Linked DNA regions of Kluyveromyces lactis. The protein of the gene in region 2 interacts with the protein of the main gene of each other region in a pairwise test. Links are inferred from orthologs where the notes say so. Each region holds a gene or a part of one and is shown on either strand. Other genes may lie near its edges.

What was found.
Region 1: the proteins of SHS1 (region 2) and SCS22 interact in binary tests that used the Saccharomyces cerevisiae proteins (3 or more experiments, as listed by UniProt). The link is inferred for Kluyveromyces lactis from reciprocal best matches to the Saccharomyces cerevisiae genes SHS1 and SCS2.

What each region holds. Positions count from the first base shown.
Region 1 is NC_006041.1:621,533-627,577, forward strand, and holds SCS22 (phospholipid metabolism-regulating protein SCS22), read right to left. Parts: upstream 3,300-6,045; coding exon 2,475-3,299; downstream 1-2,474. Other genes in the region: RPL32 (60S ribosomal protein eL32), read left to right, coding at 1,169-1,561; MAP2 (methionine aminopeptidase), read right to left, coding at 4,076-5,332; MRP21 (mitochondrial 37S ribosomal protein bS21m), read left to right, coding at 5,725-6,045. UniProt on the Saccharomyces cerevisiae protein: Acts as an endoplasmic reticulum (ER) membrane anchor for cytoplasmic proteins via binding to the FFAT motif of targeted proteins. Regulates phospholipid biosynthesis by modulating the subcellular localization of the transcriptional repressor OPI1.
Region 2 is NC_006042.1:1,938,256-1,945,047, reverse strand, and holds SHS1 (septin SHS1), read right to left. Parts: upstream 5,360-6,792; coding exon 3,704-5,359; downstream 1-3,703. Other genes in the region: KLLA0_F20834g (uncharacterized protein), read left to right, coding at 1,182-3,032; GCR2 (Gcr2p), read left to right, coding at 6,212-6,792. UniProt on the Saccharomyces cerevisiae protein: Septins are GTPases involved in cytokinesis that assemble early in the cell cycle as a patch at the incipient bud site and form a ring approximately 15 minutes before bud emergence, which transforms into an hour-glass shaped collar of cortical filaments that spans both sides of the mother-bud neck.

The DNA of each region.
Region 1 (6,045 bases), on a different chromosome or scaffold from region 2:
AGGAGAAGGCAAAAACCCAGACATCGGATATATTAGAAGGTGTATGGGTGGAAATGACAATATCACTCTGGACTTTTGGATGATTCCTGATTAGGAACATGTATCCTTTGGGCGGGAGGATTTTTTTCTTTGATTTTTCCGTGATCCACTCACTGCTGCAGCGGGACCCAGGCAATGGACTGAGAAGGGTACACGGGAGGCAGATCCAATACCTGTCGGTAGGCTGGCACACCCCTTTCCCGTTCGCTCAGCTTGGCAATGGGCTAGGCAGAGAGGGTTTGGCTTCCTTCTCCCCAGCTCGGACAGTCTCTCTACCTGTGGACAGAGGAAGGAATCAGTTTGCCAGGCGGAGAAATATGGTAGAGGGAAAGCGGGCCTAGCAGCAACCAGTTTGTATTACGTTCTCTGTAGTTTGTGTGTCTGGAACTTTTTGGTTTAACGAAATAGTATAATGTTGAAAAGTTGAGTTTATACGTTATATATGAAAGTACTGTTAATGGTATTGGTATAGGTATCAGATAGAAAGACTCAGCAAGGAAAGAATAGTTCAAGGTATGTACATAGTGGTACAATACGTGCGGAATAGAAATGAGAATTGATATGCGTTTCGAACGGCCAGATGTAGACGATATTTGAGTGAGATACAATGAGAAGCAAAAAACCAATGAGTTTAACTAGATAAACGTGGGATATCTATATCAATGAGTTTATAACATGTTGATTCAGTGTCTTATATTCATCCATCTATTACCGTGGGGTAGAAATGAAATTATTTGGTATGATATGATGAGCAATGTGTGGTTTGTGATTTGTAAGAGTACTAAAAATCATACGATATAAAACTAATGACTGGCAATGAATGACAATTGTTGTAATATTGAAACAGGTTATTACAGTGGGGATCTATAACGAAAAATTTGCCTGGATTCTTAATCTAGAATTTTTAAGATTTCCATGTTTTATTAATATTAGACAAACTCAACTCATCCTTATACTTGCCACAATTTGTTCACTTTCACCAGTTCATCTCAGAAGAAAAAGCTCATTAGGTCGATATACCGTTTGCTATAGAGGCATAGTGGAATAGCACAACATCCGCTCTATCAGGCAAAAAACATTAATACTAACAAGATAACAATATTTCGATATTACTTTAATTTTTAAACAGATGGCTGCTTCTCTACACCCAAAGATTGTTAAGAAACATACCAAGAAGTTCAAGCGTCATCACTCTGACCGTTACCACAGAGTCTCTGAAAACTGGAGAAAGCAAAAGGGTATTGACTCTGTTGTTAGAAGAAGATTCAGAGGTAACATTTCTGAACCAACCATCGGTTACGGTTCCAACAAGAAGACCAAGTTCATGGGTCCAGATGGCCGTAAGGTTGTTCTTGTCTCCAACGTCAAGGGTTTGACCCCATTGTTGATGCACACCAAGACCTTCGCCGCTGAAATCGCTCACAACGTTTCTTCCAAGAACAGAATTGCTATCTTGGCTGAAGCTAAGAAGAACGGTATCAAGGTTACCAACGCTAAGGCTAGATTGGCTTTGGAAGCTTAAATGTTTTAATATCTAGGTTTTTAAATTGTCAATATAAACTATCAAATCACTTCTTAACATAATTTCTCTCATATTGAATTGAATTGAATTGAATACATAAACATCCTTTCGTTCATTTACTCAGCTTACTCAACTAGTTTCACTGTCATTTCACATTTTTATATGTTTGACGACGGCATCAAGCGTGCATTTTTACTCACTAATAGTTGGACTTTCCACGCAGAGTTGAGTGCTGACATCGTATCGATGTGATTGGAATTACAAATATATATACTTCATGTATTCAGTGGATATCGTTGTACCTGTAGCTAGTTAAAGACAAGGGTCGGTGGTATTGTGCCAAATAGTACCTTGTCCAGCTCATTGCAATTGAGAAATCATTTGATGGCATGCGACAAATTGAATATAGGACAGTTGCCAAAAGAGCCTCTATAAACAGAAGAAAAAAAAAGGATGTAAAAAGAGCCAGAAAGAAAAGTATCAATGACGGTTGCTGAGTATATTGGGATCAATTTGAAGGAGAATTAGTTCAATATCTTTCGTCTCCCTTTGTTTTCAATGAGTTGTTTCAACGAAACAACGATGAAAAGAACAGCTGTGTCACAAGATGAACAATTTCAATACTAACTCAAATATCTTGTCAATGTCTTGGCTAGGGGAAAACATAGTACTAATGGCTGTAATGATAATACAATAACAATAATGAAGAATGATTTTAGCCGCATGAAGAAATCCTGCAAAGAAAAGAACAAACAGGTTAAAAAGTACGGGGGTAATTAAAACAAAAGAAACAGACGTAGATAAGAAAAGAAATACGAATATAATTCATAACAACATTTCTATCAAAGTCGAGAAATATGTTGTCATATATTATACGATGGTTGATAGTTCCCTCACTTAATCAGAATGTATCCTAAGATAACCAATACCAAAGTAAGAAACCTATAACGATCCAAATGACCACGGCCGGTGCAATATTCGACGTACTAGCGGGTTCTGCAATAATTTCAGTGTTAGCGCTGGTATCAGATTTGACCTTTTCATCGAGCTTTGGTTCACTTTCCACAACTTTTGGCTTTTCAGTATCCAGGTCAGTATTGGCAGATGCAACCGGGACAGATTTCTTTTGTACCGGTTCACTAGCGGACTCTTCTGTAGCTTTCGAACCACTAGCAATAGTTTCCTTGGCTGAAGGAATGACAGTCTCAGTTTGCACGTTATCAGTTTCTAGATTTTCCACGACTCTTGGTTCAGCATCTAGTTGATAATTTACCTTAATCTTCTTTGACAGGCCCTTGTTCTTGAACTCTGCTTCCAATTGAGGCCAAGCTTCGGCCACACTCAGTTCACCTAAATCGTAAGGAGCTGGCAAAGCTATAACCAAGAATTTATCTTTACATTTGAAATCTGGTGTAGGTTCTTCCTTCAATCCTAAAAGAATCACTTGAACATCAACGCTTTCACCGGCTGGCACCAAAGCGGCATTAGGTCTTACACAGTATACCTTAGGAGCTGTGGTCTTCACCTTAAAGGCAATTGTTTGTTCTGAGTCATTCTTGATGGTAATATGCTCAGCTGCTTGGCTAGTGAAAGGTGCTATTACGAAAACAGAGAGGTAAATCACATTGAATAATGGAATCGCAAAAATGATCCCATTAAACATTGAAATAATGATTTGGAAGCTTGTTAGTATATCGAATGCATAATAACAGAAACATAATATTGAGTATCTAAGCATCGGAGAATAATTCCATGTGGTTGAGGATATGGAACATCTATCAGAATCCCTGTAATCCTTCTAAGTATTCATCCCATTATTTGTCTCTCATGCAAGAAAAGTGAGCCAATATGGCCACACATTTGACCACACGAAGTACACTTTCAAATGCTAAACACCATATTTTGTAACTGATCATATAGTAAAGTGGTTTTTAATCCCTTTAAACCACTGCTCAAAGCGACACATACGTTTGTATTCCAATACACTTGGAGTAATTTCAACCATTGTAAACTTATAATAGTGAGAAACAGTTTATACACACTTGTGTTAGAGCTGGAAAACTAATAGACTTCCCGAATCTAACGAAATAACAAATCCCAAATAGAAAGATAAACGAATTAGATAACCGTACCTGATAATCTTCGAACAATTAACCTAGGAACCGATCACTGTAAATCCTGCCAAAAACTAAGTCTCTCTGTTCTTAATTGTAATCGCTTAGTTCAACTTTTCTTTGTTTGCAAAATGTCAAATTCGGGTATTTATGTGTGAGGGTAACCACAACAAATGAAATGGGCACTGAACCTCGTTACGTAATTATCATGCAGCGAGCAGTCGACACAGACTTCCCTCTCACTAAGAGCATTAAGCATCTTTTGAGGTACCAACAGTGCACGGTTTGATTTCAGTTCTTTTATACTTTATATTCTATTTAAACGAAACTGAATTTACCTAGATATGCATATGTTGTAGCGTTTGTTATGTATTGACTACGACAAGTCTTATGGTATCTTTCAATAGTCGTCACCACGAGAGACAATTTCCTTCTTGTGAGGATGTAGGATAAGGGTGTGTTCGAATTGAGCCGTATATGAGCCCTTAATATCGTTCAATGGTGGGTAGTCTTCTACAATACCTTGCCTCACCAATGTGTTCAAAGCGTATACGTGCTTGTCTTCGCCCAATCTATCCAAGTAACGACGACAGAACGGTATAGTTCCAAAATTTTCATCAATAACCTTTAATAGATTCTTGGCACTCGATAGGGATGGTGTTGGATGTGAACCGGGTTTCTTAGCATAATGAGAGCATTCTCCCTCTTGTATAACATACCCACGACCGGTACTCCCGAAAGTTTCGATAGCGAAATGTTCGTTTTCTTCCATCTTTGTGTTGTCACCGTTCTTGACAATTGGCACAGATTTACCCCCATGAATCGAATAAGGATTAATGTTGTGGCCGCACAAATTCCTGCATGGTTTCACTTGGTGTGTCTCACCGTTAATTTCCACTTCGTACGATTCCATCACTTCTTGAATAGCTTCACCGATATCAGTCAACCTAACGTCGATACCTGCCTCTTTAATACCAGTATTGGTTGCATCCTTCACAGCAGCCAACAAATTATCGTATTGTGGATCGAATGCAATAGTAAACGCAGAATCGATGATATAACCATTAACATGGACACCGAAATCAACTTTCATTACATCCTCGAACTTCAACACGGTCTTGTCACCAGCATTAGGAGTGAAATGAGCAGCACAGTGGTTGAGCGATAGACCAGTTGGGAACGCAATACCTTGGCTCTTTGGTCTATCAACGTGATCCCCATTGGCATCAGTGCCAGTAAACTTTCTAGTCCCGTCTTCCACCAAATTAGCAATCTCAGTCAATGTCATACCCGGCTTGATCTTATTTCTAACACTTTCCCTTACACGACGGTGAATCTCAGCACCTTTACGCATATCATTACACCTTTGTTCGTACTCTTCACTTCTTTCCAAGTATCTCCTCTCTTCATCGGTAACTCTTTTCAGATTGAAATCTTGATGGTATTCCATCCACTGTCCCTCAGGGTATTTCTCATCAGGGTATATTAAAGCAATGTTCTTCATATTATTACCCTTCTTCTTCTTCTTCTTCTTCTTTTTCTTCTTATCCTGCACGGTAGCATCCTCTGTCACTTCACTGTCATCAACAGCTGCAGGTTCAGAAACCTCAGGAAGTGCATCTACAACAATCTCTTTGACATCTGTATCAGCCACCATTTTTTAAACAACTAGAATTGATTTCTGCAATATGGGTCTTTGCAGAACTTGTCTGTATAACATCGGTCACCTCATCTCTTTATGACCAGAGTATACGTACCATTGCTTTGTTACCTTTATATTCTCTCAAGAATTTCAATCTTCCAAAGCTTTAAATTTTTCAACATGAAATTTGACGAAATGAAATAAGATAAGAAAAACCAACATCTGAGCAGGATTCCAAACTTCAAAAGAAGCCATTCTCTGCACTCTTTGAACCGACACTTATAACGGGAAAGTTTACTAGAACTAACTGCTTGTGGTGGATATTTTAAAATTTAGGTGAGGTCTAACGCGATCTTATCGGGCTACGGGACTTAACATTTTGAAAGGATAGGAAAGCAAATCAAACCATGCTAACTGCAAGAGGGTTCCAATTGGGTGCCAGCAGGACATCTACTTTATTGTCCAGACAATTTACACAATGCACTATTAGGAGACAAGAAATCATAGATTATACAAGGTTGACTCCGCTATCTAAAAGTGCAAAGGAATCGTCAAACGGATCTAGGAAAGACATGTCCTTTTCGGCAATGATGCAGTCGCCAAGAGAAGATACTTTGAGTTCCAAGCTAACAGGAATCCAAGCTGGAAGAACTATTGATGTCTTTAGCGGTAACACCATGGCTGCTTTCCAAAGGCTAGGGTCCATCGTAAGATCGAACTCCATTCAA
Region 2 (6,792 bases):
CTTAATGGTTATCAAAATACTTAATGAATTACCAGCATCGTGAGACAAATGAATTTAAAAAAAAATGATTGTCTAAAAAGTTGGAAAGGGAAAACGAGAAAAAGGAAAAAAAAAGGAAAAAAGAACGAAAGAACTTAGTGAAATCAACTTTCACACTTGCTGCTTACACAAACATAGCTGCAAACACCGGTCACCGTTGAAGCTCATCAGTTATTTGTTGTTTATATTTCCGTATACTTACTATCACCGACACGAGCAAACTCGAGCAGAGTGACAGAGACACCAATTCAGAGCATCGACTTACAGGGCACTAAAGTCGCTGAATTAGAGAAAAACAGGAAAAATAACAGCATTACGAAATAGCGTGTTCCGACAGAAAACTGTCTTTACAAGGATTTTTTGGCGACAGTGTAACAGGAAGAAACGAAAGGCCATTAATTGACCAAGATCAATCAATTCTAGAGGCCTAAGTCCAAAAAACTCATTGAGCGTAAGATTTCATTTCTGTTTTCTTTGTTATACCTATTTTATCATTTCGTTTCCTTTTCTTAAAATTCATCTTTGTTTTTTTTGGTTTTTGGAAACATACTATTTTCTTGGAAATAACCCATCTCGATCGATATCTTTTAAAGGAATTTTTTTTTTGATAAAAAAAAATTAATTACTTCCTAAAGAACAAAAGGGTTACATAAAACTTTCAAGAAACAAAAGAGAAGAGGGAAAAGAAGGAAAAAAGTCTCATTCTTCTTGTGAATCATAGGAGTACAGTCCTGTTTCAGAACATTATCAATTGTATTTTGTAACAGTGAGATAGGAGTTGCGTACTTCACTCGTTCACGTACCTGGAGAATAGCAGTTTATTCTTCTATTTTCTGCTTCCCATCCTTTTGTGATTGGTTAAAAAAACAGTGAACTCATCCACCAATATTCTAACCTTAGAGAAGAACTCCAGTCGATAGAGAGACACCACACAGTTCAACAATTATTCAGCATTTTGTCGAAAGCAAAACATTGTTTTCTTTGGTGATTATTCTGTTCTGCTATTTAATTGAGTTTCTTGAGCGTTTGACAAAAAGTGAATCTTCGCTCTTCATCTCATTTATCGTCTTTTTTTGGCATTAGTGTTACTTTAGTGCACATTTCCACACATTGATCATTCTTACGACGAGGCCATCATTCATATGCCAATAAGCAATATCAACTCAAATCCAAACTCCAATAACATCAACGAAAACCCCATGATGATCCATCCTTCCTTCGATACAACTTATCAGCTGCATCGTGGATTCAGTACTAGCTCTGAACAGTTATCAGCAGTTAATCCCAGCAACGCATCGCCAACACATGCAAATGGTTCGACAATACCTCGCCACCACTCGGACCACAGTGGTTCACCACTAAACCTCTCATCGGTACTGAACACATTATCCATTAACACTGGAAATCAACCACAAACCCCATCCATTGGTAGTTATCTATTGATATTGCGCAATATTCCTACCGACATAAACTTGAGGGAGGCTTATGCCCTTTTCTCATTGGCTCATGGTGTACTATCCATTGATGTGATACCTCATGAAGATAACCAACCGTACGTGGTGGCAAAATTTGAATCTCAGCATTTGGCATGCCAATATGCCTCTATTCTTAATATCAAATCCCAAATATTCGGTCCAGCATATCCATTCAAGGTGGCGGTGGAGGTCATCGACGAATTAACTAATCAACAGCTGTTTTTCCAGACAAACTCACCTCAGTTGCAGCCACAACTGAACACAAACTCATTTCAAATACCATCATCCGGAAGCGTATCCTCAAACGTTGCTCCAACGTTGACATCGCCTCCCCAATCATCAAGTCGGAAAAGGCCCAGTCTGCTAGGACAACGGTCTAGATTCTCATTTTCTGATCCCTTCAGCGCAGAAAATCCACATATTCCACCTGCACAAACGTCTGCTCAAACTCCACTGCAAAACATCGATGCTGGTAAATCATTCTTGTTAATGGAAGGAGATGGCATTAATGACACAATTTGGGGATCAAACCCTTCACTCTCTACTGTGAACAACATGGTAAATACCACGTACAATCAACAACAACAAAATGCAGTTGTAGATTGGTCTGCATCCAAGAATGGTGCTGCTAGAAAGCAAAGCAGTTCCGTTTTCTCTGGCCCTCAACAGGCCAATTCAAGTGCGACAAATTTACCGCCAAACTCTGATCCATCTTCACAGGTCGGTGTCGCCCAACAGATGAACGGTAGGTCCTCAGCTTCTGTGTCTTCTAAACCTGTAACACCAACTTCATCAACGTCGCATACTCCTCATAAATCTGGCAGCAGAACCAACATTAGTAATTCTTCATCTGCAACTAATGTTAACGCTAACAACTCTACTCAGTCACAACCTATCACCAGAAGTGTGGCAAGTGTTTTACAGAATACTCCTGGAATTTCTCAGGTGGACTTATCGTTGTTAGCAAGAGTTCCTCCTCCAGCCAATCCAGCCGATCAAAATCCACCTTGCAATACACTTTATGTGGGTAACCTACCTCCAGATGCCACCGAACAAGAACTACGACAACTATTTGGAGGTCAAAAAGGATTCAAGAGGTTATCATTCAGAAACAAGAACAACAATAACAGTGGGCATGGTCCTATGTGCTTTGTTGAGTTTGAAGACGTCGCACATGCTACAAGAGCTCTAGCCGAATTATATGGTAGTCAATTACCAAGACCAGTTGGCGCACACAACACCAAAGGTGGAATTAGATTGAGTTTCTCTAAAAACCCACTTGGTGTTCGTGGTCCAAACAGCAGAAGGAGTGGAAGCAGTGGTTCTGGCCAACCAACTAGCAACTCAAATAATGCTCAAAATGGTAAAACTATCAGCGGCAATCCAAGTTCAAGCAACAATAATAATGGAAGCACTGGTAGTAACAATAGTAGCATTGCCACTCTTGCAAATGGAGTCACTAATGATCTAAAGTCATCTACTACCAATTACTCCTACGAAAATGCATTCTCCAAATGAAAAATATTATAAAAAGATCATCTTCCCATTGCCTTTTTCTTACACTTCATATTTACGTCGTCATAACCCTTTTTTGCGTTGTTAAAATGACTTATGTTCGCACTTGAAGTCTTTATTGATCAATTATGTCTTGTTTCCAACTCTTTAATGTTATTTTGCAACCATTTTTCAATTCGGTTAAATCTCTTTTCCTATTATTTCCCCCAGTGCCTTTTCTCATCGTCGCTGAATGAATGTTGTTTCTTGATGTTTTTAATTGCCATCGGGAACATTATTTTGCATTTTTCGGTTTTCTTAGTTCTCTCCAGTTACACTAGCTATTTTTTATCTTGAAGCACTGGATGAACATAAATTTTTCACCAATCTTTTTTATCTCATAATACTATGTCATCTGAACAGATAAATTCCATTTATTGATAAGTGGCACGAAAATACCTTAACTCATTATTATATTATATATATATATATACCTGTAACAGTACGTATATTTTTCTGATTTTTACATCACCATCTTAAACTCATCAAATTTGGAAACAGGTAGCAGATCAATCTAGACGTGACCGTTTGCAATATACAAAATAATCAATATTGTTTAAATTACATATGAAATCGTTTCAGGAACCAAACACTTCGACTTACAAAAATGCCAAAGAAAGATATCAAGACTGAATTCATTCTTTTTTGCTGATTATCGAAGCTAAATCGTTATAGGTTTCCTCTTTCTTAATGTAAGCACCTCCAGAAGTTGAATTTTGTTTAGTTGTATTAGTCTGGATAGATTCTTGAGATTGACTATGTGAGTTTTGTCTTAGTAGCTTTTCCTTCATCTTCAATTCAATAGCCTTTCTTTCAAGTTCTTGAATTCTCTTTTGTAACTCTTTGGCAGATTGTGCCTCCAATTCTTCAAGCTTTTGTTTCCTTGCTACTATGCGCTCGTGCTGAAGCATGTATGGGATATTTTCGGAAATATTCCGTAACTTTGTTCTTTCTGGAGAAGTTTGAATATTGGCAGGAGTAGATTTCTGTGAACTGGCAGAGATTGAAGCGCGAGACTCATCTCCTTCATCTACCCCGGTTAGACGTGGTGTAGATGGGGTTTCAGATTGAGGTGGAATTGCAAGTGATTGTTGAGACTTAAACTTTCCTGTATTTATTAGAGAGGCGAAATTTGACAAGGATGGAGCTGTACTGTTTCTAGTCAACCCTTTCATCAACCCTGAAGAATTACCCTCATTGTTTTCGTCATTGATAGAAGTATCTATAACTTCGTTGTTTTCAATGTCCCAGGCTGGCACAGACGCCAATTTCTCAGCACGGTAGTTTTCATACAACAGATTTTGTGTCGTGTCCTTAAACTCTTGCAAATGGGACCCGAAGAGAACCCTTTTCAACAATTTCAAGTCCGAAATGTTTTCATTATCGATGTCAATTTTACCCCATGGATACTCACGATAGTATTTACCGGTAGCATTATCGCGTTGGTCGGCGCAGATAATAGCAAACGGCTGAAGTCTCGCTAATGCCTTGTTCTCTTCAATTGTTTCTAGATCATCCTCATTTTCGTCAACTTCGAATTTGTAGATAGGAACGTTAAATCTATCAATGTCTTCCATAATTCTCTTCTTGAACCTAGTCAATTCATCAGGTGTGAACGAATCTGCTCTAGCGACAATTGGTAGAACATTTGTGTAGCGGGATAGTCTCTTCATAATTTCAACATCCAATTCACGTAACCCATGTCCCGTGGGTTCAATAAAGTATAACGCGACATGAACTCTTGTATCCTGGAACCTTGGATTTCTCTTGATTCTGGTCTCCTCAGCGAGTACCGAATCAAATTGTTGCTCCAAATATGAAGCAATCTCATCGAAACAGATCCCATTATTTAAGTTTTCACCCAGTCCCAGGGTGTCGGTGAGAAAGAAATTGATCTTTTCAGGGGTAGCGCTATCGATATCCTCACTAGATTTCGTCGTGATCTCCAGGGCAGTAGACGTCACAGTGATACCTGGTTCCAAAAACGGCGAGGCTGGATCAAATGCCGACATGTAGCTGGGAATACCGTTCATCGAATTGAACGTGACAACCTTAGTTGGTTGGATAATCTTAACATTCTCGTTATTCGTGCTAGCTGGAACATCTTGTTGATATCTATGAGGGAAAATGGTAGATTCCAATAAATTGTTAGCGAAAGTGGTCTTACCAGTACCAGAAGCACCAACCAACATCATCGAGAAAGTAATACCTCTCTTCTCCTTCTTTCTACGGAACACACTGACCCCATTGTTGCTTGGTGAGAATACCTGAGATACAGGACTAGCGGACATCTTTTTATTGCTTCCAAGATCAAACGGCTTCACTTTTCACTTCCAATTATATTCTAAATAGAATCGCCAAAGTACAATGATTCCTATCCAATTGATTGAAACTCGTCTCGTTCAATGGTTCACTTGATTAATGTAGCTCTGCAACGTATAGAATACACTTTTTTTATCAAAAGACGTTGTTGTTTCAGTCAAATTACATTCTCGTCTAAATTTAAATATGGAATTGATATCTTTTACGTGATATTAACCGTTTCGAAACTTTTCACCGATTAAAAGGCTCGAACATAGCCATGGGAAATGAGACACTCAAAGATACCTAAGGCAAGGACAAAAGTTACCAGTGACATGGGAACATCAAATGGTTACAGTTCGATGAACCACATATCGTAACTAGTCTATGTATTGGGGAACTAAGGCATATATACATATATATGGCGCCACTTCTTCACGTGACTTATATTTCTGTCTCAGTGATGTGAATGTATATGTCCGTCAGTGGATTACGTTATAAGTTGATAACGATCTTCGATCTAGGTCCGGCTAGCTTTGGTACTGCCTTGGTCTACATATGAAAGGCTTCGGATTTTAGCCCTTGCAGAAGGGCTCTATGTGTTCAATGAGATGCGTCTTTGTTTTGCAATTTTGTCGCTTTTAGTTCTTGCTAGAACATAAGGTGATGCAATGTGGAAATGTTGCACCTTAACGAAACGAAAGATAGAGAGAAAGAGAGAAAGAAATACACAGTAAGCGAGAAAATCTGCGGAAGCGGCAGCATACTTAAGGTCTTTGAACTGCTTGTTACGGACTTCAAAGATCGGCCCTCCCCTGCTACGTACACATACTGGAAGAGCCATGTCTGATATCGGGAGCACTTCACATAGTAGTCCGACAGGCATCATGCATCATCAGATCAAGCTCGACGTATTTTTGATCAAGGGTTACCAATTGATATCCAACGGAGAAGTCTTGGAGCTTCCCGAGCTATTGAATTCCACGATTAGTCCGAATCAGCAATCTCCTATATCGCTGAAACCCTTGGACGAACGTCATATGCAATATTTCCAAAGTCTCTCACAACTTTACGATGCTCTAGTGACAATCGTACCCTTAGATGAACAATCGAACGTACCCAAATCAAATATCGAATTGTTTCAGCGATTTCAACAGATATTGAAAGAGATATTGCTAAGTTATGACGTGAGCCCGTACAATCGGTATTTTTTGAAGTTGGATGAGAACAACTGGAAGATACGGGATAACGTGGACGATCCTCTATGGCAGGTATTATCTTTCAACATCGACAAAGTCTACGACAAGACAACGGGGTTAATAACACCGTTGAGGAGGCCAGGGAAAAGTACCACTGCGTCTGCTAGGGAATCGCCCGTGCTTGCCCCCAGACGTAAATCGGTTGTAAATACAATCACTTCACC